4 linked regions of the Notamacropus eugenii genome follow. The protein of the gene in region 1 interacts with the protein of each later gene in a pairwise test. Links are inferred from orthologs where the notes say so. Each region holds a gene or a part of one and is shown on either strand. Other genes may lie near its edges. The genes, in order: HOXA1, EGFL7, FBLN1 and TRIM42.

Region 1 (7,285 bases):
GAAGACCTTAACAGTAATAGTTTGGCAGTTACAATGAAATCTGGGCTCTGTGGGTGGGTGAATGCATGCCCCCCCTCCACCTCCTCAGTCCTCCCTCCGTAAAGAACTATCCAGCATCTGGGAGAAGTTGTAGGGTTCTTTTTACCGGAGCCCAGTGGAGAGAAGCTGAACTGAAAGTTTGCTGGGTTGGGCTGGGCTGGGCTGGGCTGGGCTGTGTGGGCCAGAGCTGGGAATAGGGCTGGATAGAATTCTTCTACTGCTCATAAATCAAACTCTTTCTATGAATGAGAATGTCATCAAAGAGATCAATTGCAGGAACACATGCACAAATACAAGTCCTCTTACGTATTTGCCCGAGCTGGGGATCCCCGTCTGAAAGCATTAAGTTAGGAGGCGTTTAAGCTATAAGTCATTTTTATTGCTCTTTTAAAACAACAGCTTGGCTAAGCTGCCGATGCCACGAAAAGCTCAGAGCCTGGGCTTCCCCCCCTCCTCCCTCCTTTTCTTTCTAGGAGAAGGGCTTTGGGCGGAGGGAAGAAGCGCTTTAAATCTAGCCATTCTCTTTTTATTTTAATGACGGTCTCTCCACCCTTCCCCTGCCTGCCTCTAAGCTTTCCATTTTTGACAAAGCATGGGGTTCTTTGCTGGGTGCTCTCATTACCAACTCCCCAGGGCTCAAAGAGGGCTCTAAAACTCGTTTGTCGATTTCGAGATCAATTTCCTCCTGGATGAGGGAAGGAGGTTTTGCCTCTTGGTCGTCTTGTGTTTCTGGGGCCAGTCTTTTGTGTGATGGCCGGTGGGAAGAAAGCTCAAGAAAGGCGAAATTCTCCGAAGGAAGTGGAGGCGCTGATCTGGACTATGACGAGCCTGTGGAATCTGGGCCCAGGCAGCAGAGAGGCTAAGCCGGGTGGAGAAACGCCAGTGGGTACAGTATCTCGATTTCTGTTGATGGCTTTGCCTGTGTGAATATGTCTGTGAGTATTTACACACACCAGGGAAACTCCTTGCTGGGGCTTCCACTTAGTGGGAAAGAGGAGGGAGAGAGGGAAAAGAGGACAGGAGAGAAGAGAGGCAGGAAGAGAAGAAGAAAGTGGGAGGGAGGATAAAAAAGAAAGGCGGGAGAAAGAGAAGAGGAAGAGAAAGGTAGAGAGGGGAGGAAAAAGGGAAAGAAAAAGAAGGAGCAAGTAGGGAGGAACTGGAGGAAAGAGAGGGAGAGAAGGAAAGAGAAGAGATGGAAGTGGGAGGGATGATAAGAAGGAGAGGGGGGAAATAGAGGGAGGAGGAAAGAGTGTCAGAGGACTGAGGAAAAGGAAAGGGGGAGAGAGAGAAAGAAAAAGAGAGAGGGAGGGAGGAAACGGAGGAAAGAGGAAAAGAGCCTGTGACAGGGAGGGTGAGAAAACAAGAGGGCAAAGGAAGGAGGGAGAAAGAGAGAGAGGAGGGGGATGGGGGGGTAGAAGAAAGCAGACAAGATGGAGAGGCAATAGAACACATTCCATCATTCCCTATTATGTTTCATTGTGACTGAGCAGGCTACAGACTTCTAGACTAAGTGGGATCTTAACAAAAGACATGAGCTTTTTAAAAACAAAGATATAGAAATGGAGAAAAGAGGGGGACTCTGTGGAAGCTGTGCTCCTGGAAAGGAAAACGCTTAGCTGTGATGACTGTGCAGCTCCCCACCCCCACTCCAAGCCCTGCCCCCAGAATCTCTGAGAAGGAGCCTCAGAACTGGATGCTGGCCTGGGAAGAGGAGAAAGGGACGATTCTCCTCAGTCAAGGTCCAGACTCTTTCTCCTCAGAGGGTCCAACCTTCCTGGTGGCATGGTGCTGATCGTATTGGAAGAGGCTCTACTGGCTCACTTGGGGCCTGCTTCAGTTCCTCGTCATGACTATGGGTCAAAGGGCAAAAGAGCAAATGAAAATAGAAGGGCAAAAATATTGGGGAGAAACACCTTCTACTTGGGAGAGGGGAGAGGAGAAATGGAGGAGGGATGGGCTGAGGGGCCCCTGAAGCTGGTGAAGCTCCTCCAATTTTGTTCTCCCCTCTCTGAGGAGGAGGCTACTGGGGGAGAGGGCTCGACATGGAGGAGAAAAGGAGTTTATATTTTATTTTAGGAGTTTATATTTTAGGAAACAAAACAGAAAAGGAATGTGGTAACACGGAAATTTCAAATAGGCCCCCTAAAAATCTAGTTCTTGAAATTGGAGGGGGTGGGAGGAAACAAGTAACCAATCAAAAGCAGCCTCCAGATCTGTGGCCCTAGCGATCACCTCCTCTGCAGGGATTGGCTCTAAGCACACCGCAGATATTCCTGGCTACATAAGGAGCACCCCCACAGAACCGAGAGATTCCTTCTCTGGCCCTCTCCGCCTTGCTGTTTGTCCCAACTCTTTTCTGTCTCAGTCTGTCTCTGACCCGTTCTACTTGGCCTTTTCTCTGCCCGCTCAGGGTTGACACGGAGCCCAGTGCCCCACAGAAATTAAAGAACCCATTAGTAGCTGTGAGAGAACGAAGGTGACTGAAAACAGGACCCTTAGCCTGGGAAGAGATTTCTGCTAGTAGCAACGCAAACCTCTAGGGAAAACTAGCCAGTCAGTGCAGTCTAGAAACCAAGGAGGCTGGGCGGGTCTGGCTGTGGGGAGGGAGGGGGTGTAGCAGGGAGGGGAAAGCTCACTTTCCATCATCAACCATCTGTCGCCCCTCCCACTTGGCAGCCCCCACCTCCAACTCCAGACACAGCGGATGGTGACCCTAGGAGTGTTGGGGTTCGATTGGGGAGGGGGGGAAGGAGGGGAATCGTGAGGTGATCTAGCCCCAAGGTAGAAGAATTTGATTATAGTTAATTCTACAGTTAATTCTTAGCCCGCTCCTCGTCTTTTATGTCTAGGCACTCGGTCCGGGTTGGGGTTAGACAGAGGCTTCGGATGTCCCGGCCTGCGTGGGTTGACCCTCCAGCGCTGGGGGAGCCTACCAGATGGACAGCAGCTCCGGGACCCGCTCCAGAGCTGGGCTACATTCGCCAGCGTCTGCCCCTTCTCTCTCCCCGCCCTTCCCCTTCCCCCTCTCCCCCCCATCCCTCCGCGGAGTTAGGGAGTTACTCGCCGGTCACCTCGGACTCCCCAGGCAGAGTCGATTATAGGGAAGGAGGAGAAGCTGGGGGAGGGGGATTGCTGCTGCCAAGGCGGCCTTTCCCGTCAATCCAGGGTCCCCCAGCTCTCCCGCCCCCGGGAATCAGATTACAACAACGTCTCATTGCCATGCTAATAGCTGCGGGACTGGGGCGGATTGGGGAGGGGGAAGCTCCTTGGCTTTGGAGACCTTCCGTGGAGATGAGAAGTTCTCCTCCTCCTCCTTCTCCTCCTCCCCCTCTCCTCCTTCGTCCTCCTCCTCCCTTCTCCCCCTCCTTTTTCTCCCTCCTCCCTCCCCCTACTCTTTTTCTCTCCTCTGCTCTTAGCCTCCTCCCACACGGGCCTTGTAGGTTTTCTCGCCAAACCGTCCCCTCCCAGTCGCACTGTTCCCAAAGGAAGCCGTGGTCATGACAATAACCAGAGAGCTGGGCAGCTAGGGGCAGCGCCTAGCACACTCACCCGGAGGCTGGGGCGCGGGTGCAGGGCGATCTTCCTTTTCTTTCTCCTTGGCTCACTCTGGTACTGGGGTTGGCCGGGAGGGTGAGGGGCTCTCCCACTCACCTGCAATTGGGCGGCCGGCTCAGTGCAGACCGAGCCCCAGCCCTGCGATCCTGACCAGAGCTGGGACTCTCCCCGCCAAGCGCCGCATCTTCGTCCTCCTCGCTGGGCCCTGGGGATCTGCCCCACTCCCCCATTCCTCCAGCGACTCCTAAGGCAGGGCGGAGCGGGAGCCAACAGCGGCGGTGGTGGCAACGGGGAGGGCTGCCCCTGGGGCTCCGGCTCCTCCTGGGCCCGGCCCCAGAGCGGGGCTCCCATCGTTGCCACTGCCGCCGCCGCCGCTGCAGCGGCCGGGGGGGCGACTGCGCGTCACCTTGATGGAGGAGCGTCCGGGATTTAAATGCCACTGAAACGGTGATCCATCACCAGCAAGAACAGGCAAACTTTCACAGGAGGCTCCGCCATTGGCTGCCGCGGTCACGTGCGCCCCGTCCCTCTCTCCCCCTCCCCCGCCCCCTGCACACTGTACATTCATATCATTTTTCTCTTTGGCCCCATGGAGGAAGTGAGAAAGTTGGCACGGTCACCCAGGGCTCGGAAGGAGCCGGTCACTGTGTGACAGGCAGATGGACAATGCGAGAATGAGCGCCTCCTTCCTGGAGCACCCTATCCTCAACGCAGGAGACTCGGGGACCTGCTCCGCCCGAGCCTACCACCCCGATCATGGGATTACAACTTTCCAGTCGTGCGCGGTCAGTGCCAACAGCTGCGGGAGCGACGAGCGCTTCCTGGTGGGCAGGGGGGTGCAGATGAGTCCTCCCCACCACCCTCACGCCCATCACCACTATCCCCAGCCGGCCGCCTACCAGCACCTCAACAACCTGGGTATGTCTTATTCCCACTCCAGCTGTGGCCCGGGGTTCGGATCGCAGAACTTCGGAGCAGGTTACAGCCCCTACTCATTAAATCAGGAAGCAGACGTAAGCGGCGGGTACCCCTCGTGTGCTCCCGCTGTTTACTCTGGAACTCTCTCATCTTCCATGGTCCAGCATCACCACCACCACCACCAGGGTTATGCTGGGGGCACGGTGGGCTCGCCTCAGTACATTCACCACTCATATGGACAAGAAGCGCAGAATCTGACTCTGGCAAATTATAATAACTCCTTGTCCCCTCTCCATGCCAGCCACCAAGAAACCTGTCGCTCTCCTTCAGCAGAGGCATCACCTCCAACACAGACCTTTGACTGGATGAAAGTCAAAAGGAATCCCCCCAAAACAGGTCAGTTCTCTTGCCCAGCACCTGACCACTGCTACTGCTGCCATGAGGGTTTGGGGGTGGAGTGGTGGGTGGGTGTAGGTTTACTTAATATGGTGGGGAGAAGCCAACTCAAGGTTATATATAGGTTTTGTAGGGGGTGGATAGGGTGGAGAACTCAGGTGTACTTAGGTAAATGATGCCCAGGAATAATAGGCAGGAGGCCAGTCCCTCTCTCTGGCTTCCTGAAAGTAGGAGCTGGGGGTGGAGGGGTGGACTCCCATTAATCACGATTTCTGTTCACACCAATAGTTGACTTCAAGTTAATACTTTGTACCTCATCAGTCACCTTCCTAGGAGTCCTATGTGGTCAGGTTATCCTTTGCCCCTTTACCTATGATCCCAAAGCTTGACGGGTATAAATAAATCACTCATCCACACCATTTAAAAACTAAAAACAATCAGATGACCAAACTACTTCTTTTCTCTCCACCTTCCCCTCTCCCCACCCTTGCCCTCCAGGGAAAGCTGGTGAATATGGGTATATTGGCCAACCCAACACAGTGCGCACCAATTTTACCACCAAGCAGCTGACTGAGCTGGAAAAGGAATTTCATTTCAACAAGTACCTCACGAGGGCCAGAAGGGTGGAGATCGCAGCCTCACTGCAACTCAACGAGACCCAGGTGAAAATCTGGTTTCAGAACCGCCGCATGAAGCAAAAGAAGAGAGAAAAGGAGGGCCTGTTGCCCATTTCGCCCACCACTCCATCACGGAGTGACGACAAGGCCGAGGAATCCTCAGACAAATCTACCTCTTCGCCCTGCGTCCCCTCTTCCCCAGCCTCCTCTACCTCAGACACTCTGACTACCTCCAACTGAGTTTGCCCCTGGCCCCTTTTTTCCTCCCCCCACTCCCCACCCCATGATACTTTAGTGCAGGACTTCTAACCCGAAGCACATTCTTAGCTTATCTCTCCCTTCCTTTACTATGTCTTTCTTTTTGATGTTATCTCCATGTCTTCTTCGGGCTAGGTCACTGTGTTTCAAGAGAATTCAGGCCCAGAGACTGAGAGGCTGGGTGGGAGTAACTTCACAAATGGTGGGGTACCACCATCTGGTCTTTGATGACCTCTGAGGGCCTATGATTGATTCAGACATCCTTTGGAAAAACTCCATCTCCCCACCCCACCCCCTCCCATGCTTGAAGGGTGGAGATATCTGATATCTAACTTCAAATTATTTTTCTCCCCCCGTCCTCCTTCTCCTCATCTCCCGGACACTAAAGGCAGGAAAAAAGAGAGTCTAAAGACCTCAAGAAGAGGATGCACTATGAAAGTGTTTACACATTCATCTTTTTAATTTAATGCATTCAGTTTCTTGTGTGAGAGTTTGCTGGTTGTAAATACTTTAAGAGATTTATCTTTATACAGATTTTCTAGAAATGATGTTTAGCTTAGGAGATTAAAACAGGGTGGATAGACTCCCAAAGCTGGGTGTAATTTTATACAGGACTAAAAGTGACAAAATAAAGAAATCAGACTGGACTGGTGAAGCCCAATCAGATTACTTCACAGGGAAGTAGCCCTGTGCCTTTGGAGAAGATGAGTAGGACTGGGCTGCACTGGGTTATTGTTGTTGTTGTGTTTTGGGGTATTTTTTGTTGTTTTTGTAAACCTCCTGGGTGTGCAGTGTCTCTCCCCCAGTCCTCCCACCTCTTCTGGCCTCCTCCTGCCCCACTCAAAAATTATGCTGAATTGTTTCTGAACCCTAGGGCATATTATCTCCAAACATCTTATTTCCACAGTAATCCTTCCCTCGATTTGATGTATCTCCAACCCAATCGTAAATGTGATGAATGGCGAAATGAATGTATATTTCATGTGATTCGTGAATAGGCTTTTTGCATGGTGCACAATGGTTTGAGCTCCCAAAGATACTACACTGAGTTCTATCAGTTGTCCTTTGTGGTCCCACAATGCTTCTGAGTTTCTGTACAATCATGAAAAGTTCTGAGATTCCAAGAGTGATGGAATTCAGAGCAGAATTTACGGGTCCTAAAATATCTGTAATAAATATATTCACATTTCAGGTATGCTTGGGCTTCCTTGTATTTCCTCCAGGCTGCTACAATTGATTCCACACTGGGTTGATCATTTCATGTGCGAAGGGGAAGGGAAAAGGGTGTCTCTACTTTCATAAAAGTTGCCCTTAATTGGATAGAGTCAATTTTTTCCTCCTCATCCTGCAGCTAAAACCCACCCTTCCTGGACCATTTTCTCAGCCTCACATTTGACACCTACATTCTGCTTCTGGGTGGTTTTTTTGTTTTTGTTTTTTTAACATTTTTTTTAAAGGGGAAGGTTTTTTTTAAAATTGAAATCATAGGGAAATTTATGAAG
Region 2 (7,982 bases), on another chromosome or scaffold:
GATTGAACACTGGGGTCCCAGACTGATATTTGGACAAGTCCTAGTTACTAAAACTAGATTTCAGCCTCTGATTGTTGGAAAGTAGAGTCCAAGGGGTTACCTTGAGCAGGTTTCCTGGCACTATGCCTGAGAAAGTTTAAGGTTGATAAGGCTGGATCTCTTTGGGGCCAAAACAATGCTAGCACCTTTGTTACTTGCCCCTAACTAAAGCAACCCCCTAGATGAATCCCACCCATTCTTAAATGCCCAGCTCAAGTTCAAGATTTTCGGAAAACTCGTCTTAACTGACAATTTCAAGCAACAGTGACCTCTCTTTCTTCCCCTTAGAACGTCCAGAACTTTTATCTATCCCACATAATTTAGTTCCTCTTTGTGTTGTTGGAACATTCTCCATGTTCTTTAAGGCTCACCTTTGTTAGACTAACCTCTCTGATATGCTTCTCCACCCCTATAGGTCCTCACCTCACAATTCCAGAAGAATAGTAGTGATTTGAGTTATAGCTGCCTGGGCCAACCAACCAAGTTTTCCTCAGATGGTGCCAGTGTTAATTAACATTCATACTTATAAGTCTAGACCAGGAGTTCTTAGCTTTATTCTATGTCATGAACCCATTCGACATTCTGGTGAAGGCTATGAACCCTTTCTTAGAATAATGTCTATATGATGAGTGTGGTGACACACACCTATAATTCTTGATACTAGGGATACCAAGGCCTATAGATTACTTGAGTTTGGGAATTCTGAGCTTTAGTGTGGCTAAAATTTGTTGGTTATCTGTACTAAGTCCAGAACAAATATGGTGGGCCTCTGAGAGCAGAGGGCCACCAAGGTGTCTAGGAAAGGAAGAATCAGTCCAGGTCAGAAAATGAGCAAGTCAAAGGTTCCATGCTAATCAACAGTGATTGGGAATGGCTGTTGCATTTCCATGCTGGGTGAGAGATGGAGACCCAATCTAAAAAAAAGTCTTAAATGCATGAAATAAAATACAGAGGATTACAAAGGAAACCAATCATATTAACCTATGATTATCAATTTTTTTTTTAAAAACAAGTTCATAGAACCCAAGAATTCTCAATTTAGATACTCCAACTCTGGCCTCAGGGATGCATCTTATATATACATCTTTGCTTCCTGTAAGCATTAAAGAATTCAGCGCTGGGCTCGTTGTAAGTATTCAGTGACTATTTATTGAATTGAATGGATTGGAATTATGGAAATTTCTTTTTTGGGGGAGGGGGTTTTGGTTTTTTTGCTTTCATGATCCTAGCCTCCCCTTGACTTGTAACAATTGTTGTCAGTGGAAATGAGACCCAACTCCTCACAAGTTAAAGAACTCACCCTGTGGAATATATGAGAATCTCCTTGAATGGCTGAAGATATGCAAATAATGACTCCCTTCACTAAACATAGGGCCCAAGGGTTCATTTTATTCACCTCTTCCTGGGCCTGATTACTGTAATCTATCTTCTCTCCAGGACACTCAGAACGAAGAGCATGTCATTCTTATCAGCAATGGTAAAAGTAAGTCCAGCTCAATGCAATTCAACATTTAGCTTAAGATGTTACATTATATATTCAGAGGATACGAAGACAGAATGGAAAACAGAATACATTCTCATGAAGCTTATATTATACTGGGGAAATATAACATGAAAACAGATGAATGAATTTAGAACTCAGCACAAATCTCATCTTCCCAGTTCCACCCTTTAACCCCCTTCCTTCTGAGGTTACCTTCCATCTACTCTGTAAATACCTTACATATGTCAATCATTTATTATCTCTCCATTAAAATGTTAGCTTCTTGAAAGCAAGGGTTGTTTTTATCTCTAGCACTAAGCACGGTGTTTAGTACACTTAATAAATACTGCCGACTGACTGAAAAAGCATTTATCAAGTGCTTATGATGTGCCAAGCACTAGGGTTACAAATGTTAAAAGCAAAGACAGTTCTTGCCTTCAACTAGTATTCTAATAGGTTCAAGTCAGATGGTCCAGGAAGGGTACCTTGATCCCAAAAGTTACAGGAATGGTGAGTGGGGAGTAGATTGAAGCACTCCATCTAGGGACAACGGCAGAGTTGACTTGGTCATGGTTCCAGGAGCTGGAAGGGGGAAAGGTAGTAGATTGTCCATACTTTGTCAAAGTGGTTGGCAGAGCTATACAGAAGATGCCTGGGGAATAGAGAGTGAAGCAAAGCATGACTGTGGTCCTCCTGAGATAGTGGGCCAAGAAAGTCAGTCACCAGTGATAACATTAGAGCCAGCTAAGTCTGATTATTTGAGAAAGGAGAGAGCACTAAAAACCTGAGGGATCAGCAGGTTTCCAAGGAAAAGGTTCATAAGCTGATCCTTGAAGAAAGCTGGGAATTCTAAGAAGTTGAGATGATGGTTTTGTCATTGCAACTTAATCCCCAAAACAAAACTAGAGAGAGGTAGATGAATGAATGAAAAAGCACTTTTTATGGGGATATAAATATAGAAACAAGTGCAGTCAGTCCCTGTCCTTAAGGAATTGCCATTCTAATGAGGGAGACAGCATCCAAAGGAGAAGAGTGACTAGGGTCGGGCAACTTCATTCTGAAAGTTACAGGGATGCATAGTAAGTGGAGCTGTAGCAGAGTAGATTGGTACTACCCATCCATGGATCTTGACAAAGTTGATTTCATCATCATGCATGATTCTAGACTTACAAAGAAAGGAAAGGGAAGAAAAGGCGTGGGAAGGTAGGACCAAAGCAAGGAGGAGGTGACTGGAGAGTAGGGAGTGAAGAGAAATATAGCTAGGACCTTCCTGAGATAGTGCTTCTGAAAAGGCACCAGGACACCAAGGTTGTGAGTGAGAAGATTGTCAGAGAGTAAGGGAAGAAAATGAAGATATAAGACTACTGACTAACAACAGCAGCTTTCACCCTAGAGTTTCCCAGCAGTAAGTTTGGAATGCCCTATATTATCAACATTTTCAAACTGCCCCCCCCCCCTTCCCTCTTGGAATCCCTAGCATTTGCAAGATCAGAGCCAAGGAGCCCATCTGTTCTTATCACTAATAAAAATGGCTGTAGCATAATTTAGACAGTTCCCTAACGAGAGAACCTTGTACTGCCATATGAGCTTTGTCTCTCCCACTCCATTGACTCTGATAAAAGGCTCTAATTTTTAGCAGTTTTAGGGCTTTCATTTCTAAGTCTGGTCCCCCCGTCTTATAGGTTTTGTTTTAAAGAGAAAAGGAGATGAAGACACTCAAAGAATCAACACATCACGAAGAAGGCTGAGAGTCATAGATAAGTTACAGATTTAGAACTGGAAAGGAATCTCAAGTGACTATTTAGTTCAACCCCTTCATATTAGTGAAGGGGAAACTGAGGCCCAGAAAAGATTAAGTGACATATCTCATGTCACACAAGAAATGGCAGTACTGAGATTTGGACCTAACTCTTCTAACCTCATATCTAGCACTCTTTCCACTAAGCTATAAAAAGCTATCCAGATAAGGGGAAGATTAAAACTGGTTTTAACTCAGTTTAACTCAGACCCAAGAAGCAGAATTTGTACAGGTTATCTGGGTGAGTCCATGTGGATCCCTCTGTTGCCCAAGACAATTAGCTGGGCCATCAGGGTCTTGCCAAGCTTAGGATGCCTAGATCAATCTTCCTCAGCACTGATGACCCCTGCAGTAATTCAGAGAAGCCCTACCTTGTTTCCTTATCACCATGATTCTTTCTCTTTCCCAAAACTTTCCATGGATCTTCATTCCCCCAGGAAGAAATTCATACTCCTCAGCCTTGTAGTCAAGGCTCACCATAGCCTGGTCATATCCCTACCCCTCCAACTTTATCTCACTCTCCTCCAGATATAGTATTTGTCCTCCAGATATAGTCCCTGTCCTTCAGGAACTTATAGGCTTGCTGGGAAGACAAGGCTAATGTTAAAAAGTAAGGGTAGGGGGTAATTAGGGAGTTTGTGAGAAGTGCCCAAGAAATGGTACAAATGGTAAATGCTTATAAGGAATTGAAGGGAAGGAGAGATGTGTCAGCTGGACAGGTCAAAGAAAACTCTAAAGAGTTTTGGGACTCAAGTTGGGCCTTGAAGGATAAGTAGAAATAAAATAATTAGAAAGAAGACAGAGAGCATTCCAAATAAGGCACTGGGTCAAGGAAAGATATAGAGAAAGGAAAGCTGAACAGTACTGACAAGACCAATTTGGCTAGAGTAGAGGGTTCACCTGAGAGAGCAGTGGAGCTGGGCTTAGTTGTGAATTTCCCTATTTTGAGGGCAATATTTTCCAAGATTGTTACAACACTGAAATCATTGTGACCCACTGACCTGGGCAAGCCATATCTGAGGAAAGAATTTGGGGGTCTCTTGAAGAGGGTCACATAGGAAATTCTTGAAGGACCCCAAGTCTGGACCAGCCTGTGGATTTTCCAGAAATTGTCCATCAACCCTAAAGAATGTAACTTCCTCCTTCCTACTTGATCCTCTCATCTCTTTAAAATGACTTCACTACAGTTATCCTGTAAAATAGAGACAAGCATAGATGATGGGTATTTTTCTCTTCCTGTCCATACCCCTACATTCCCAAATGAGGAGACAGTAGTCAATCCACCCTTTGAGTCACAATCCTCCTCCACTACAAATACTCAACAGCCTCTTTGGCAATCTGGACCCTGCCCCTGTTATTTAAAACACCATTCCCTATCCTGCCTGCCTCGGCCAGCTGCTGCCTCAACCAAACTGATTCCAATGGTGTGAAAAACAGGAAATGGCATTTTTTCTCCTCTTCTCGACAGGTTCATTCTTCTCTTCCCACCTCTTCTGGCTCAAATGGAGATGTCACCAGTGCCCATATGTCACATGGTGGTTTGGGATGTGCAGTACAGCCTTAGTCAAGGGTTCTGACCTTTCCTGCTGAGCTGGAGCTGGGGGAAACATGGCAGCAAGACATCTCAGGCAAGGACAGGGGCTCTGCATTTCTCAGCCAATTTGCCGTGCATCTGGCCTGCAGAACTAGAAAAAGGTAACTCACTTATTTTCTTGAGGGGAAGGGCTGGAGCCAAGTCATCTTTAGGAGAAACTTAGAACCATAAAATCTTAGCGCTGGATAAGTGAGTTAACCTAGACTAGCTCCCACACTTTAAACTGAGGCCTGAAGAAGGAATGTCCTGCCCAAGGTTGTCCTGGGAAGTTATTCTGGGAAAACCAGAACTCTAACAGGTCTCCTGGCTCCCAGTCCACTGCTCTTTTCACTTTGCCATATTGAGTCTTCTCCTAAAACTCCAGGTTCATCTACCACTCCATAGTGCCAGCTATTTTCTCTTAAGGAGTGAACCTAGAAAGAATTTATGTTATTGTCTGGGAAGCTAGACTGAGTTCAGAAAAATGAAAGTGTTTCACATTTTACTGAGAATATGAACATCTGGATTAAGATTGGAAGGGGATTTGGATGGCAAATTTTAAAGCAACCTTATTAAAGGTGACTTCGGGGGCTACTGTAGACAAGATTTCTACCCTGGGTGAGGAAGTACTTTCTAAAAAGTAAAAAAAGAAATCTACTCCCATTTGAGTTGTATTAAGGTTCTAGTAAATAACAAGAGTGAACTAGCCACCCTCCGAGGTTCTTTCTAACTCTAACATTCAAAGATCTAATGTTCGTTCATTCTAATAAACATTGTCTGTGTGCCCAGCACAGTGCTTTGCCCCAAAATGGAAACAAATAAATTAGATACTACCTTCAGAAAGCTTATAGCCTATTAAGAGGGATAATATACATGGACATGAATAAATATAATCCATTGCTGCAGGGGTTCATGTGAGCCAGCACAGGAAAGTGAATAGAGGGCTATCGTTGGAGTTAGAAGGTCTGAGTTTAATTCTTGCTTCTGATACATATAGGCTATTGGATCACAGGCAAGTCACTTAGCCTACAAGTTGCTACTAAGATGATAAAGTTCAGAAGAGGTCTGTGTCTGCATTAGTGGATGGAATTTCTTCCCTGAGAGTTCCCTATATGAGTGGTATCAAGCTCAAACAGAAACAAGGGTCACTAAACCATATATAAGGATCCCAGCAGGCTGAGAGTTGACTTAGAAAACCACACATTAGGATCATTTACATTCTGTTGCATTTTATTTATTTTTAAAAGTATTTCCCAATTATATTTTAATTCAGTTTGGCTCACACTCAAGAGCGCTGCAGGCTGGTGCTTGACATCTCTGTCTCACACCAATAAAATCACAAGCCAAGACAAAAAAATAAAGTTCACAAAAAGATTCACTGATGGATGAGGGAATTAGGGGTGGGGATACACCAGATATCAATAGATGGAGGGGTGGGAGGGATGCAGGCATTGAGCACCCAAAGCATCGGAAAGGACTTGAGTCAAGTCAACGAATCAGAAGAGATAGGAAAATATTAGGCATGGGAGAACAGTAGGAATAAGGCTACAGGATAGAGGCAGGTTTAAGGTCTATAGAAGGACCCTGGCAAAATCCATAGATGGGGCCCCAGAATTAGGTCTCTAGTTCTCTCACATGAACACAACGTGATTCAACCCATCAGTCAGTCAACAAGCATTTATGAAATACCTATTAGACTGTGCAAGTTGCTAGGGATACAAAGGCAAAAATGAAATAGTACTTGCCATCAAGAAGCTTATATCCCATCATGGGAGACCCCAGTACTCACATATATAAAGTAATTGGAGGACTTGAGAGGAGGGAAGACACTAGTAACTGATTAGATCTGAATTTATGTCAGAAAACATGACCTTGAATGGATAGAATAAGAAAGAAGTTGGTTCCCATTGGAGAAAGCTAGAGTTTGGGGAGGGGGCTCATAATGCCACACCAGCCAGACCAGGAACACCCTATACCCACAGGGCACCTCAGCTGGAAGGGCCAGAGTGTTGACCACAAAGAACTGAGCTTGCAAGTTTGCAAGGGCTGGCTCTAAACGGGACTCCTTAAAATCAGATCAGAACATCCCACCTCCTCTGGGGTGGAACAAGCCCTAGAAAGAATTTAGGGTCAAGAGGGTTGGGGCTGGGCAGTCTCAAAGGAGGGCAGAATTAGAGGAAGGGGGCCCCTGGAGTGAAGCCTGCCTGACTTTCCTAGAACAAAGCGGGTAACATTTCCTGCCCCTCCTACTCTGTGTAGCAACAGGCTTGAGCTTTTGTACGTAGTCAGGACTCAATTGTACCGAAGTTGAATATTTTAGGGACCCATGACTGTCCATGTGAGTACTCCTCCCTCTACCAGTATATATCAAGAACCTTCCCAACTGTCTTTAGGAGTTGCTGTGATCATAACATTTATCACCACGTGGCTCAGAGAGGTAATAGGGAAAGTTCTCCAGCCCTCTGGCCCAAGAACCTAATATCTGTTACAGAGACCACACTTGAAACCTTTTCAACTTGTTAGAACCTACCAGGAGTTGGGCTTTCCTGCTATAATCTTGGAGAATCCAGGCTCACCTTTACCATGCTATGACGAGACAGGAAAGAGGAAGATTGTAGTAGAGGGTCTCAAGAGTGAGTTAAATGAATGTGGGTAGTCCAGGGAAAAAAGCTCTGAACTGGGGGACTGGAGGAGTGGAATGAGGGCTGGATTTGTGGTCAAAGGACCTGGTTCAAATCCTGGTTCTGCTACTTGATAACTGTGTGGCCTTCCACAAATCATGTAACCTCTCTTGGATTCAGCTTCCTCATCTGCAAAATGAGAGAGAGGGTTGAACTAGAACTGCAGCTCTAAATCTACAATTCTATGTCCCTTATCCTAACCAACTGACCTTGGACAAATCAGCTCGCTTCTCCAGGACCTATTTCTCCAGTGAAGTACTTAGATTCAATGGAGTTTACAGACTAGATTACCTGGGGGACTGGCTTGAGTGTAAAGAGGTTTATCCACTGGGGTAATAAAGCTAAAGAATTTGTACCAGGCTACAGGATATGATATCTCCCTGTCTTTTGGCTCAGAAACACCTATTT
Region 3 (7,248 bases), about 290 Mb from region 1:
GAAACTGAGGCCCAGGGTGAGGAAACGACTTGGCCAAGATGACACAGGTAAGTGGTAGAGCCCAGATTTGGCTCCTGGGCCTCAGACTCAGAAAGTGAGGGCTGATTCTCTTTGTATCCATGGTACCTAGCCCAAAGTAGGTGCTTAAATACAGCATATCATCCACTGATATGCCAAGAACTGGCGCTGAGGTCAGGGGACAGCAATGAGCTGCCCAAGGTTACACAGGCAGTGGTGAGTATGAGAGATGACTTTAGAACCCAGGTTCCAGGACACCACCACCAGTGTCATCTTCCCACCACTCCACCAGGGAGGCAGTACATGGTATGGATGAGGAGGATGGTATTATGCCCCTTCCCCAGCATCACAAAGTCAATAAAGCAGTAGAATCAGGCTCCTGCTTTGTTGCTGCTAGCCAAGGGCTCTTTTCAGGATGCCAGGGGAGTCAGTGGGTCCAGACACCTCCAGGAAAGGATTCCCTATTCAGAGGCTTCTTGAATTCTTTTGAATTGGGGTATTAATACAGGGTCATTTGATGCTCTAAGCAGAATAGAGGAGGGAGGACCCTGGATTCAAATCATCCCATCTTATTGTCTGGCTCTATCATTGTCAGTCATTGACTGCTAGGCTCTGGGATCCCATCCTCCATCATTCCTCTCTCCATGGAGATGGGTAGGGCCCTACTGGGATTCCCTTGGTCTCCATGAGGCACTAGAGCCAAAGTAACCCATCCCTTGGCACCAGCTCCTTGCTCCCCCCCAACCATGGGCCAGGCCTGAAGCTATCCTGGCCTGTCCAGACCTGCCAGAAGCTCCTCAACTCCCCAGTGAGGCTCTGGGGGCTTGGGGAGGGGAAACTTTGACTGTCCCTGTCAGGGTTATGTAAATAGCTAACCAAAATCGATTCCTCTTTGGGACTCTTTGGGGTCCCTGCTGCCCACTCATTCAGACTTGCCCAATAGCTTTTCTGGTAGTTTGGGGGCCCACAAAGAGAAACACCCCCACCCCAAAGCCATAAATGGAAGAGCCTGGGGGTGGAAGAGAAAGGCATGTCCTTGGGGTGAGCTCCCAGTCAGCCTGGAGGTCAGGCCTGTGACTAGTGAGAAGAAAGCCTGGGGTGGAGGAAGGGGACAGAACCTTCTCCTGTCCCATTTCTCCAGCTGCCAGGCCCAGCAGCCCATGCCAGAGGGTAGAAGCTACTGTCCACTGTCAGGAGCCAGCAAGGCCACCTCAGCTGTCCAGTCCATATAGCTCAGTTTTTTTAAAATAGGTGAGGAAGCTGAAAGGGACATTAAAGAACAGGGAATCTCATTTTACAGATGAGGAAACTGAGGCCAGAAAGGGGAAGGGACAAGACTGTACAGGGAGAACCATGGCAATTCTGAAATGGAAAGCATCTCAATGCTCATCTAATCTCACTCCTGTCTGAACAAGAACCTTCTAGTGGGTAACTGATCATCCATCTCTGCCTGAAGACCTTCAGGAAGGCAAAGAATGGAGGCTGGGACCAGGCCTGGTTCTGGAGCTGGCCAAATTATCTGAGGGAGTGCCCATGTCTGGGCACTGCCCTGGCTTCCAAAGCTCCCCGAACTGGACTGGATGTCTCTTGGACAGCCAGAGTCTCTCCTAAATCCTTCCTTTTTTCACAAGCTTTCTCCCAACACCAAGTGCTGAAGGCACTACTGCTGAAGGCACTATTCTACAGATAAGGAAAATGAGACTCTGGACAAGGAAATCCCACCCATGCCCAATGGCCACAGAATCAGGGGAGGAAGCCAGAGCTCCAAGTCCAGAGCAGCCCCCTCCCTACTCCCTGAGACCTGGACTCCACCAATGAGGAAAGAGATTCTGCCAGGATGCCCATGGGGAGGAGAAAGCAAACATGTGCTCTGTCCCACAGACTCTTGAGCACTGCCCCTCTTCTCCCCACTCCCCACCCCCTCACCAGGAATGGTTCTGGTCTCTGGCTTTAATTGTTTCAATAACAACGCTAGGAAGGGCTTGTGTAGATTAGAGCTGGGGACACTGCAGGCAGGACCCCTGGAAAAGGCTGCCTCCTCCCTGATATGGTTTTACAGCCCAGAAAAGGGAGGGTGAGCTAGGGGAGAAGGGGCCCCAACAAAGTCTCTTCTGACCAAGGGATAGACACCCTCAGCGAATGCTGAGAACCCAGCGTTCTCCACTCCCAAGTCTTTTTTCACTCTGCCACAGTAACCTAGGAATTAGCATGTGTTGGCAAGGAGGTGGGAGAAAAGAATTTGGAAGATGGGGTGGGGGTGGGCTGAAAACACCTAGTCCACCTCCCTTTTTGACAGATGGGGAAACCGAGGCCGGGAACAGGGAAGCAATATGCCCGAGGTCACACAGGTGAGAAGAACATCTGCCCTCTCAAAGAAAGCTCCGAGAAGAGTGGGGAGAGTGAGTTGGTGGGGGGGAGAGGGGATGGCGAGCAATGCGGGAGGGTGTGGGCAGGGAGGCAGAGACGAGGCGGAAGCCCTTGGGCACCTGGGGTGCCGGGGCTGGCGATGCCGTTGGGTTGTGTCAGTGGCCAGGACGGGAGGCCAGAACACGACAGGACAGACGGGTATCACAAGTTCCCTTCCTCCGGAGTGGCAGAGAGAAAGGAGGCGCGGGGCGGGGGGGAACCCACAGAAGGCCCTTCTGTGAGAGAGAGAAGGGGGACGTTAAGGGGCTGAGGTCTCCGGCACCACCTCGCGCCCGAGCCCCTCTCCCCACGACTGCGCTCTGGGGGCGGTCCCCAGCCCCCCAGCTGGCCCCTCTCCTTACCTCCGGCGGCCAGCAGCGTGACGAGGGCCAGCAGCCCCAGAGGGCGCGGCGGCCAGGCCGGCTCCATGGGGCGCGGGACTCTGGGAAGGGGGTGAGCCCCCTGAGCGCACAAAGGGGCCAGCGACTTCTCCTTCTTCTCCGGCCGGCGGCCCGGCTCCCGCTCCTCCCTTCTGGACTTGGGGGGCACTTGTGTGAGGGAGTGTGAGGACGCGGGGTGCCCAGCGGTCCCCGGGCCGCCCGCTTGCTTCTGTCCTCGGGAGCGACTCGCCCTGCTCCTTTTAATTATCCCGCCTGGAAGCGCTCTGGCCCAAGCCCAGGCTAGGCTAGGGGGAGCGGGAGATGGGGCGGGGGACTGGGGCGGGGGGCGGGCGGGCGTGGGGCGGGCCGATCGCTGGAGTGATGGCAGCAGGCCGCTCCGGGCTGGATTTCTGGCTGCCTGGCTCTTTCCGTCTCCCGGGTTCGGGGTTCTTTAAAAACAAAAACGACTCTTTCCCCCTCCCTCTGCTCTGTCTGTCCAGCTCTCTGCTCCTGTCTTGTCTCTCTCTGCGTGTCTCAGTCTGTCTCCCCTTTTCTCTCCTCTCATGTTCCTCTGCCCTCGCTTCTTTCCAAAAGTGGAGAGGGGAAGGGGCCCTCGGTTGGAGTTTCTCCAAAGCCACCCCACTCTACTGGACTCCTGCCAGGCCTAAGACTGAAGGTCACTCAGTGCCCCTTCAGAATACCGGAACCAGAGAACAGGCTCTGAGACATGTCCCTCCAGGACCCACAGTCCCCTTTGCCCCATCCATCACAACAAGTGATGGGGAGTCCATGCTTCCCGGAGGCCCCTGTCCTGAACACTCCCATCCCCCACCTCAGAAGGAGCACTTTGCCCCCTCCAGGGAAAGCCACTTATCATGGGCATTGTTCTGTGTTCTACTTATCTGTATTTTCGTCTTATCAGTCTCCAGACTATGGGCACCAGGAGAGCAGCCACCTCCTTTTCTGCAACTCTCTCTCTCCCTGTCCCTGTCCCTCTCCCTCTCCCTCTTTCTCTTCCTCCCTCTCTCTGTCTTTCTCTCTCTCTCTCTTCCCCCGCCCCTCAACTGTTACAAATATTTACTGGATATCAGGATTTACTGAGCCACAGAATATCAGAGTTGGCTGAAAACCCCAGTGATGGGCTGCTCCAAGCTGTCTGTCTCCCCCTCCCTCCCCTCCCTCCCCTCCCTCCCTCTTCTCCCTGCCCCTCTCTCTCCCCTCCCTGAAGGTGGGATTATTGACTCTCAACCCTCAGCCTCTGACCTCTGAACCCAGAGGTTTCTCTTTCTTTTACGTTTGCTTAACAATCAGTAGACACCCTAACAATTGCAGCACCAGAAGGGGAGGGAAAAAGCAAATAGGCAAAGAGGAAACCTAATTAGTACTTTGGGGGAGGGGGAGATGGAATAATTTTCTTATCCTAATTCTTATTCTAATCCAAGGAAGTCAACTAAAATGTCTTCACAACACTTCATTGCAGGGCTCTCCAGGTAACTGCCTCCCAGATATCCAGAATTAGATGTCCAGTAGACATCTGAAACTCCATACATTTAACAGTAAACTAATTATCTTTCCTCCTAAACCTCCTCTGCTCCTACCTTCCATATGACTATAGAGGGCACCACCTTCTGCCCAGTCCCTTAGGCTCCCCATCTAGGAGTCAGCCTGGACTCCTTGATCTTTCTCATCCACCCCCCAACCCATATCTAATATGTTGCTGAGGCTTTTCAGCATCTCTCTGGTACGTCCCCTTCTCTCCTCTGACACAGTACAGACTCTGGTCACAAACAAAACATTCCCTCTCTCGGCTCTGGGCCTTTTCTTGGGATGCTCTTCATTCTGCACTCTGCTTACTGATCTCCCTGGCTTCCATTCAGTCCTACAGCCCCCTTGGACAGGAAGCTTTCCTCCAAACACTTTGACTTCCCATGCTATCCCTCTGTTACTTTCTATACCATCTAGAGCTTGCTTTGTGTAGTTTTGTATGCATCTTGCTGCCCCTGTGAGACTGTAAGATCCTTGAGGACAGGGACTGTCTTCTACCTCTTTTTGTATTCCCAGTATTTAGCATAAGGCCTGGCACAGTCAGGTTTTTTGTTGTTGTTCACTCATTTTTTCAGTCATGGTGGACTCTTGGTAACCCCATTTGGGGTTTTCTCAGCAGATACTGCAGTGGTTTGCCCTTTCCTTCTCCAACTCATTTTACAGATGAGGAAATGGAGGCAAACAGGGTGAAATGACTTGCCCAGGGTCACACAACTAGTAAGTGTCTGGGGCCAGATTTGAACTCAGGAAGACTCATGTTCCTGACTCCAGGCCCATCACTCTACCCACTGAGCCTGCTAGCGATCCATCACTCGATAGGTCTGGATCTGGGCCCAGCACCTGATTAGCTGTTTTTACAAATATCAACAACAATATTGTAAAGTAAGTATTATTGTCCCCATTTTATAGCTAAGGAAACTTAGACAGAAATTAAGTGGCCTGCCCAGGGTCCTAGAGCTAGTGTCTAAAGCTACATGTGAGCTCAGGTCTTCCTGACTCCAGGCTCCCACACTGTGAACACTGTGTGATTGAGCAGCCTCCAGAGCAAATCACTTTCATTTCCTGAGCCTCAGTTTCCACCTGTATAAAAGGAGAATGTGGACCAGATAGCCTCTAATGTTAGGGACCAGCCTTAAATATAGGATTCTATGCACTCAGTCCATTAATAGGCCTTTATTAAGCACCTACTATGTGTCAAGTGATATTGGGTTACCCACCTCTAGAGTTTGCCACCTGGTAGAGATTACATCCTTGCCATGTTCTAGGCTCCACTTATGCTGACTGGGTCTTCCTATGGGCAGAGCCAGGCCCAACTCAGGTCCAAAGGGAGGGGCTGGTCCCATCAGAAAGAGAACCCATGTTCTAACCCTATGAAGAGTTCCCAAGAACTGGGCAGAAAACCAATTAAAACCAGGTGTGGCCCCAGTGAGTTCTCTGCTGGGAGGCAGACCCCAAAGTCCCAGAGTTTAAAAGTTGGATAAACTGAATGGTGGAGACATTGGTCATTGGGATGCAATGAGGAGAGAGATGGAGGGTGAGGGGAAGAGAAGGGGCAGAAAGTCTCACCCAAAGTAAAGGAGAGGGGAAATGTTCGGTGAGGGGTTCTGGACCAGTCAAGGGTTGAGCTACAGCCAGAAAGATGGACCAAGAGGAACGGAGAGGGTCACCCTGGGCTGTCACTGCCTCTCATCCTAGCTTCCTAGCCAAGCTCAGGAGAATGTGTTCTCTGTTTCAAGGCCTCTGGGAAGGAGGGCTCAGGGACTTTGCTGAGTTGGTCAGCTTGCTCATGCACCTCCAGCAGAGCTAGAAAATTCTCCACAGCAGTCTGATCTAAGTCCCTGCCTGAGACCAGCCCCTAACCTTCCCACTGACCTGGGTAATGGGGAACAGCTGGCCCTCATATTTGCCTAGCAATTGTTCACAGGCCTGTCACAGAGCACATCTCACACACACACACACACACACACACACACACACACACACATACACACACAATATCTGAAGTTGGCTTTGGGCCCTCTCTGCTTCCCTTCCTTGGGGATCCATCCAGTGGATATTTGAGACTCCCTATCAGGAGCAGGAGAACCCACTTGGGGAAGGTGTTCCCACTCATCTCCCACCTCCTGAGTCTCCTTCCAGGAGGGATTTTCCTAGAGCTGAGCTCTCCACAAATCCTTCTCACAAAAGGCTAGGGGTCAGTGTTCAAGCTCTTCCCCCTTGGCCTGCAGAAACCCATTCCCTCCCCAGATTCTCCCCAGTCTAACTCCTGCCTACATAACTCAACTGAAAGAATGCTTTGGGAAATCACCAATGCCTGCTGTGCCAAATGGCATGGCCTGTGCCTGAGTCGCCTCCTTCTCCACCTGTTTGCAGTGTGGAATGCTTTGGATGCTTCTGGCTGTCTCTGCCTCAATGGAACTTCTTCCCCACCCTCCTTTCCTAAGGATCCTTGGTCCAGATCTCCAACCCTTCTGCATCTTGTATCTTCTGGCTTAGAGAATATCCCTCAGAGCTCACCTGTCTAATGCCCCTCACGTCATTTGGGGGATCAGGCTCAGACCCTGAGATTTCAGGAGATCCCTGTTGGTGGAACTGCACTGATGCAAGTCAGCCCTCCTCTTCCCCTTCTTGTGTCAGAGGCCTCCTGGATGCTGGGGGCTGGCAACTGGCTCAGGGTCACCTGGTCAGGACATCACCGGATGGCCCATGGGATCAGCAACTAAAGCACTTGGTCCTTGCTGACCAACTTCTCTTCTTTCTTCCATTCCCTAAATCTTCTCACCGTGTGTCACCTCTGGTGGATCTAACAAGCCCTTGCTATGGACAGTTTCCACAGCTGTATCTCTAGCCCCAGCCTTCTCCCAAACAACACTCCAATTCTGCAATCACTGTGCCCCAA
Region 4 (8,100 bases), on another chromosome or scaffold:
CCTGGGCCATCTCCAGTCATCCTGATGAATATCTGGTCACTGGATTCAGATGACTCTGGAGGAGAAGTGAGGCTGGTGACCTTGCACAGCCCTACCTCACTCAAAACAAAGTCAAGTGCAAGTCATGTCATCATTTCTTTGATGGCATGGTCTTCTTTGGTAACGAAAACAAACACACACACAGAATCTATGCCATGCTATCAAGAGCTTTGCTAGAGAAACTACCCAAATACCCTGACATAAAGTAGTCCTAGTAACTTAGAGAAGCCAAGAATAATTCCTAGGGACAAGGGGGAGGTGAGAAATAATATGAAGGAGGAGGAGAGAATTTTCTCTTTTGAGGAGGTAATGGTTTACTCCTCACTTGAGGTCTTCAAAAATGACTTCTTGTTGGATATATTGCAGATGGTATTCTTATTTAAGTATAGAATTGATAAATGGTTTCTGAAGTCTCTGTAGCCTTGTTGTTTATTTGTTCATATTTGTATCTTGACTTCCCAGCGAGATTAGGAATCATATCTTCTTTCTCAGAAGGAGTAACCTTCTGAGTGAAGGGGTAGGTATTGTATGCAATTTGGCTACTTGGTGCTGGCTTCCAAATTTATGTTTGTTTATGAGGGGAGGGCAGGGGAAGGGAGGGGAGGAAAGTGGAGGGAAGTGGAGGGAAGGGAAGGGAAGGGAAGGGAAGGGAAGGGAAGGGAAGGGAAGGGAAGGGAAAGGAAGGGAAGGGAAGGGAGAGAAGGAGACAGTAAAACTCAGTTCAACTGGGCAGCTTTTGGCCATCCAAATTTACCTTAGTTTGGAGAGGAGGTTAGGGGAGAGAGAGGCAGACAGGAGAGAAGGAGGTGAGGTACCCAGCTAGCATTCAGCCAGCTGCATCTACTCACAGGATCGTGTTAGTCCTTCATTGCTAAGAAGACCATACCATCAGAAAATGATGACATGACTTGCACTTGACTTTGTTTTGAGTGAGGGAGGGCTGTGCAGGTCACCAGCCCCACTTCTTTTCCACAGCCATGTCAGTCCAATGACCTGATGTTCTTCAGGATTACTGGAGATGGCCCAGGATGCACTGGGAGACCTTGGGCCGTTTTAGGCCAAGGTCTTTGCAGGCACTCACTTAGGGTGAGGCAATCCCCATTCATTGAATAGGCCTGTTTAAGAAGTAGCCAGGGCATGGCCCTTTTAATGAGGTCAAGAAAAATAAAGACATCAGGTTGGGTGGGAAACAGCAACAGTTACTACTGATAATGACTGTGAAGCTGGGGGGGCTCCAGAAGCCCTTGGCAAGGGCTCTTTGGAGTCCCAGTTTCAGGGTGTAGTAGGTTTAAGGTTTTGGGAGAAGACAGAGGAAGGGAAGGGAAGGGAAGAGAAGAGAAGGGAAGGGGGAGGGGAGGGGAAAGGGCAGAGGAGGGGGAAAGGAGAGGAGGAGAGGGGAGGGGAAGGAAGAGGAGGGGAGGGGAGGGGAGGGGAGGGGAAGGAAGAGGAGGGGAGGGGAGGGGAGGGGAAGGAAGAGGAGGGGAGGGGCGGGGAGGGGAGGGGAGGGGAGGGGAGGGGAAGGGAAGGGAAAGGAGGGGAAGGGAGGGAAGGAAGCAATAAAACCCAAGTCAACTGGGCAGCTTTTGGCCATCCAAATTTACCTTAGTTTGGAGAGGAGGTTAGGGGAGGGAGAGGCAGACAGGAGAGAAGGAGGTGAGGTGCCCAGCTAGCGTTCATTTGTTTTGAGTGAGGGAGGGCTGTGCAGGTCACCAACCTCACTTCTCCTCCAAAGCCATCTGAGTCCAGTGACCTGATGTTCCTCAGGATTACTAGAGATTGCCCAGGATGCACACAGAAAGAAACTTTGTGGCAAACTGTGCCAAGGTTCAGTACTTTTAAAAATTCTTGGAAAGCGCATTAACCTGGGCTAATCTTAAATATATTCGAATTGGGTCATGTATCTGAGAATCTCTCACAGAAGGGACTACTTGGCTGACCTCAGGTGAATATGCAATCAGGGCGTTTTAAAGGCTTTCAAATGCTGTACAACTTACAACCTAGACCTGGAATGTGCTAATAAGGGACCCTTCAGATGTCTGGAAAACAAAACGAAGCTCATTTCTTCCCTTTGTTTACACTGCCCGGAATGTGTGGGGCTCTCCCGGGTGGAGAGCACTTGACTCAGAATGGGATATGCGAAATGCAGATGCCAAATTAGGGACCTCTGAGGAAACCACTTCCAAAAAGGGCTATCTTAATTTGACCTATAGAGTGCAGTGAATAAAGAACTGAGATAGGAAATCTGTAGATCTGGGATCTCATTTTTGATTGGCTATTGGATAGCCTTGGACAAATAAGCTCACCTTTGAGGACCTCATTTCTTCAGCTGTAAAAAGACAATTGAACCAGTTGATCATCAAGATCCCTTGAAACTCTAGTTCCTAAAATTCTATAGTACATCTTTTAATAGGAAGTTAGGTTAGATAACCTTGCACATCCCTCCTAATTCTGGGATTCTATGAATTGAGGAGGCAGATCCCTTGCATTAAAGTCTTGGCCCAGTTGACTTTTTTTTTTTTTTTTTGGTATTTTACCATATTTTTATCTTTTTTTAAAGTTTATTTATTTTTAATGTTCCACAATCACTACCAAAAAGCTTATATTTTTACCCCCCGCCTACCCTCCACGACTCCCCTCCCTCCCCAAGATGCCATACAATTCTATATATGATGTACGTATACTTTCCTATTGAATATGTTTTCACTACAGTAATGCTATATAGATGAACTAAAATAAATGGAAGAAACCATATAAGAAATCAAAACATAATACACACACGCACACACATATATATACAAACAAGATCTGCTACATTCTACAAATGAATTCCATAGTTCTTTCTCTGAGTGTGGAAGGCGTTTTGCCTTAGAAAATCATTGGGAATTTTTTTTTTAAGTTCTTGAGTTATTATGAAGTTCCAAGTCTACCAGAAAAAACTCTCGCACGCTGTGGTCGTTGCTGTGCACAAATTTCTCCTGGTTCTGCTCCTTTCACTCAGCATCAGATCATATAAGTCTTTCCAGGCCTCTCTGGAGTCTTCTTGTTCCTCATTTCTTATGGCACAAAATTACTCCATTACATTCATACACCACAACTTATTCAGCCATTCCCCAACTGATGGGCATCCCCTTGATTTCCAGTTTTTGGCAACTACAAAGAGTGCTGCTATAAATATTTTTGTACATGTGGGACCCTTTCCTGAGAGACTTCTTGATTCTCCATACTTCTCATATCCTAGATTTTTCTTTGTTGCATTCATATCTCAATATCATCTCTACTTGCAGAAGCAAATATGCAGATAGAAGAATTACCCTGACAAAGATCTGCCTTGGATAGGTAGATCTGTGAATCTTTCCAGTTTTAAGCTTCTATGAGCCTCTTATTCTGAAAAGGATTTGACTATGCATCATACAAGTGATTTAGGTATCCCTTATACAAAAGAGAAAAATTCAATTTCAACAAATATGTATTAATCATTTTCAGACAATTGTAATGGGGTTGATGCAATATGGAAATGAAATAAAATTTTTGCCCCATGGAGTTTAGTAGGGGAATATGAATGAAGAATGTGCAAATGATTGTAACACATAGTGATGATACTTGAGAAGTGCACGCCAACTTGGTTTTCATGGGCGAAGGGAATGGGGAAGAGGGGTGATTATCATTATTGACTAATGAAATCAGGCATCGTTTAAAGCAGAAGAAACAAAAATATTAGCCCAGATCTTGAAAAGCTTTATTTAGAGTTTGTTTTACTCCATTATTACTTAAAAGAAGAGGAAAATCTGAAAAATGCACCTTTTGCTTAGCAGTTGTGATGTTCATACATTATAGACAAAAACTCATCAATTGACTGATGTTCATCAGGATCAGAAGTTCTACATGGAACGACACCAACATTTTTATCAATGTCAGTTCCACCCAAAGTGGAAACACTTGCAAAGCTTTCATTTTTGCCCGGATCAACAGATACAATGTGATGGTACGATTGATTCTGTGGTCCCGTCTATCTTACAGCTAAAAAAAAAAAAAATCATTCTTGGGTTTATAGTTGTAGTTGTTTTTTGCAAAGCCTTGTTAGTAACTCTGTTAGATCTTTTTGAAAGGGCTTGAAGTACCTACCAGGCCATTCCCTCTAGGCTCATGTTGCTGATATTGGGGTTTCCCAGTTACCCATACCTCAGCCTCTCTGGTGGAAGTTTTGGCTCAATAGTTTAACTTGTATTTCTATAGAAAAAGAACAATTAGAGATTCCTTATGTTTTCAATTCATATGGTCTTAGATTCAGAGATGCCATTCTAGTAAAGAGATTCTTAACCTAGGGTCCCTCAACTGCTCCAAGTGTCCCTAGATAGATTTGAGGGGTTCATGAACTTGGAACTTTTAATATTTTGACAACTATCTCAATATAAGTTGTTTTCTTTTATAATCCTATGCATTTTTTCATGAATTTAAAAACATAATTATGAGATAGGCTTCACCAGATTGCCAAAGGAATCCATGAAACAAAAAGGGTTAAGAACCCCTAATCTAGTCCAGCCTCTTCATTTTATAGAAGAGAAAACTGAAGCCCAGGAAACTGAAATGACTTGCTGGTTGCAAGGAGCCAGGATTTGAACCTAGGACCTCAAATTCTAAATTCAACTCTCTTTTCTGCTGAGAGCACAGTTATGGGGAAGCCTAGGCCTTCAGTCCACTAAGTCATAGCCCAGGAAACCCTGTATGGCATCCCCAGATGGTTTACCTGAAGCACAGGCCTAAGTCTGACAAGGAATTAAGCAATCCAAAGCCTAGCCTTCTCAGCTTACATACTACATGGTGACAGCAAAAGATCACCAGTCATTTTATTCACTTCAATCCCACAGACTGGCTGATTGTCCATGGAGAATGTGCCTACAGGCACCTGCAGCCCCACAGTGTGGTGAATTAAAGAGGGGAAAGAGGGATTATGACATAAACAATGAACTCAGTCTTACCTATGAAAATGCCCATCTGTCCCTTGGCATCCTAGTTGTAACAAACAGGTCATGGACTTGAGGAAACCAAGCAGCTGGTCTTTTTAGAGATAGAGTGTGCTATCAAATAGACCTTGGGACTCTGGAAGAGGGTAACATTATGAACCACATGTAGAAGGCAGGGATTTTATAGGAGTCATGGATGAATCAATGTGCCTCTTTTCTCCATGCTGTCCATGGGAGCATATCTTACCCAAGTCACGCATGTGCCTATGCATGAAGTTTCTTCTCACTACAGAAAGGAACTGCACCTGTTGCCCCTGCCCATATGAAGATGATGGGGTATGCCAGTTCTGTCACTGTACCTGTTCAGATGCTCCCAACTGCCACTGGTGCTGCTGCTCCTGCGCCAATGACCCCATCTTCAAGTGCTGCTGTATTTGTCCACCAGGCGCATCTACCTGTCACTGCTATGAGGCCCGCTGCTGCTACAGAGGACCTTTCCCTACTGACTCCCCGTAAGTACTCTAGGAACCCATGCCCAGACTGATGCCCATCATAACCTGCTGAGGCCAACTTCATTTTAGTCAATTCTGCCAGGATTTGTTTAATAAACAACTTCCCTAACAAAGCAGAGACCATCATGACTTCCTTCCCCCCAGCCTCTTGGGAATCATGACCCTTCCTTTCTGTATCACTCACTGGCTAGTGCATGACTTTTCCAGGTCTATCCTCATCCTTCAAGGCCCAGTTCTGATTCCTTCCCCTCTTGGCAGTCTCCCTAGACTATCCAAGTCTACACTGTTCTCTCCTTCAGGAGATACTAAGACTTTAAGTTAACAAAGACCTTAAAGGTTACCTAGTCCAAACTTCTCATTTTACATATGGGGAAATTGAGGCCCAGAAAGATTTAACTGTCTAAGCCTACACTGTTCTCTCCTTTAGGAGATACTCAAGTCTTTCAAGTTAGAAAAAACTTTTAAGGTTACCTAGTTCCAAGCCTTTCATTTTACATACGGGAAACTGATGCCCAGGAAAATTAAAGTGGTTTGTCCAAGGTCATGAAAAGTAGTAAATAGTAAGCAGTAGAGTAGACAATCAAACCCAGGCCCTCTGACTCTAAATCTACCTTTGAAAATGTTGAACCACTCTAGTATACTGCTCATTTCATAGGATCATCAAACTTAGAGGTGAAAGGGACCTTAAAGGTCAAGTTATTTCATCTCATCTTACAGATGAGGAAATTCAGACCCAGAGAAGTTACTATGCTTGCCAAGGTAACACAGTAGTCAGCTAGTCAAGACTTGAACTCAGGATCTCTGATTTCAAAAACTTTGGCATTTTGTCTAATCCTACCAGTGGTTATCAGTAATGCATGCTTTCATCTTGTAATGTTATTTGGGGGTTTTTTTTTGTATATTTATATTTTGTCTCTCCAGCTAGAATACAGGCTACTGGACAGCAAGCATGATGCCTTTGATTTCTTGGTATTCCTTACAGCACATTCCTAGATAATGTCTAGTATGCCAGAAGTACTCAATTAAATAGTGGTTTTAAATTATTTTTATTTAAAATTAATTTGAAAATTTTTTAATCTGAAAATTTAATCTATCCTACTTTGTGATGTCTAAAAAAAAACATTAGGCTAAACAACATTGCTGGGAGTAGTTAGTGCCACAGGAACAATGTTAAAATGTTTTAGAGATAGATTCCTGGTTGACCAAAATTTAAATTACAAAAGATTAAAAAAGTTCTTAGAGACATAAAACTCTAGATGTAGGATAAAAAGCCCTGGACAGATGATCTGGGTTTGAGTTACAATTTACGACACTTACTGACCTCGATCAAGATACCTCTCTGTGTTCCAGTTCCTTCATCTTTAAAACTAAGTTTGAACGAGATAAATCCTAAGGTGCTATTATGTTCATCTTCACAACTGTATTACTGACTCAACTTCCCCACCACTTCCCTCTTCCCCACCCCTTGTGTGATTCTCACCTAGGTGATATCTCACCTACATGGAGGTGATCCTTCACCTTTATACCTGTCACTGTCATGTTCACTTTTCAAGTCTCTGTACCTCACACAACTTTATACCTTTTCATTCCTCCATCCACAATACTAGGAAATGGAGTCAACACCATTCATCTCAATGAGGAGAAACCAGTAATTCTGTATATCTACCCTTTTTTCCTCATCCTAGCTAGAAACTTGAAAAGGACAGGTTTTCACAGGAAAGGAAGAAAGAGCACAGAAGACTACCCCCGTTCTGACTGATTCATTGATGCAATCTCTTGGGCCCACCTGGAAACTATTTTCTGAATGACCGTTAAAGACACTGTTGGGCTACTATACACAGGGTGTGTATGGGGAGTTGTGTCTTAAAGGATTGATCCTAAAACCTAACAGCAGAGTTTCTTACATTAGAGTAGGATTTTATTTTTAATATATTAAGAATACTGAGGAGCAACTTTCACTGGGGAACATTATGGGATATGTGTCTAATTGTGTTAAGTGCATAAATCTCTAAATTGCAAGCTGCTTGGTCTTTTCCACCTAGTCCAACATTTTGGACTATTAAGTACTCAATGAATTTTTAAGGCTCTCCAAACATTCATCTTTGCAGATGACCCTGTGCCAAAAATATCACAGGGCCTTCTCAGTGAGACTTCATGGACATTTTTAAAAGAAATTAACACACACAGGAGAAAGAAGAACAAATGTCCTAATTAAGGCATGTAGTTGGATGGGCAACCCTATTGGATTAGTATATCAGTACCTATATCTCATGAAGGCACTCCATGCAGATGAACAATAAACCAGCTTAACTGAATGGGGCAAGCTAGGTGGTATGATAGAGTGCCAGGACTCAAGTCAGGAAGACTCATCTTCCTAAGTTCAAATCTGACCTCAGACACTTAGTAGCTATGTGACCTTGGGCAAGTCACTTAATCATTTCTGTTTGTCCCAGTTCATCTGTAAAATGAACTGGAGAAGGAAATGGCAAACTACTCCAGTATCTTTGCCAAGAAAACCCCCAAATGGGGCCATGAAGTGTCAGACACAACTAAAAATAACTTAACACACAATGGAATGAGAGGAGACG

The links.
Region 2: the proteins of HOXA1 (region 1) and EGFL7 interact in binary tests that used the Homo sapiens proteins (3 or more experiments, as listed by UniProt). The link is inferred for Notamacropus eugenii from reciprocal best matches to the Homo sapiens genes HOXA1 and EGFL7.
Region 3: the proteins of HOXA1 (region 1) and FBLN1 interact in binary tests that used the Homo sapiens proteins (3 or more experiments, as listed by UniProt). The link is inferred for Notamacropus eugenii from reciprocal best matches to the Homo sapiens genes HOXA1 and FBLN1.
Region 4: the proteins of HOXA1 (region 1) and TRIM42 interact in binary tests that used the Homo sapiens proteins (3 or more experiments, as listed by UniProt). The two-hybrid records come from large-scale screens. The link is inferred for Notamacropus eugenii from reciprocal best matches to the Homo sapiens genes HOXA1 and TRIM42.

The regions. Positions count from the first base shown.
Region 1 is NC_092874.1:18,131,273-18,138,557, reverse strand, and holds HOXA1 (homeobox protein Hox-A1), read left to right. Parts: upstream 1-4,109; 5' UTR 4,110-4,253; coding exon 4,254-4,908; intron 4,909-5,406; coding exon 5,407-5,765; 3' UTR 5,766-6,974; downstream 6,975-7,285. UniProt on the Homo sapiens protein: Sequence-specific transcription factor. Regulates multiple developmental processes including brainstem, inner and outer ear, abducens nerve and cardiovascular development and morphogenesis as well as cognition and behavior.
Region 2 is NC_092872.1:489,306,067-489,314,048, reverse strand, and holds the start of EGFL7 (epidermal growth factor-like protein 7), read left to right. Parts: upstream 1-4,897; 5' UTR 4,898-5,015; intron 5,016-7,982. UniProt on the Homo sapiens protein: Regulates vascular tubulogenesis in vivo. Inhibits platelet-derived growth factor (PDGF)-BB-induced smooth muscle cell migration and promotes endothelial cell adhesion to the extracellular matrix and angiogenesis.
Region 3 is NC_092874.1:310,067,941-310,075,188, forward strand, and holds the start of FBLN1 (fibulin-1), read right to left. Parts: upstream 3,250-7,248; 5' UTR 2,854-3,249; coding exon 2,787-2,853; intron 1-2,786. UniProt on the Homo sapiens protein: Incorporated into fibronectin-containing matrix fibers. May play a role in cell adhesion and migration along protein fibers within the extracellular matrix (ECM).
Region 4 is NC_092876.1:325,567,360-325,575,459, reverse strand, and holds the start of TRIM42 (tripartite motif-containing protein 42), read left to right. Parts: upstream 1-5,062; 5' UTR 5,063-5,192; coding exon of another isoform or gene 5,193-5,322; coding exon 5,323-5,512; intron 5,513-8,100.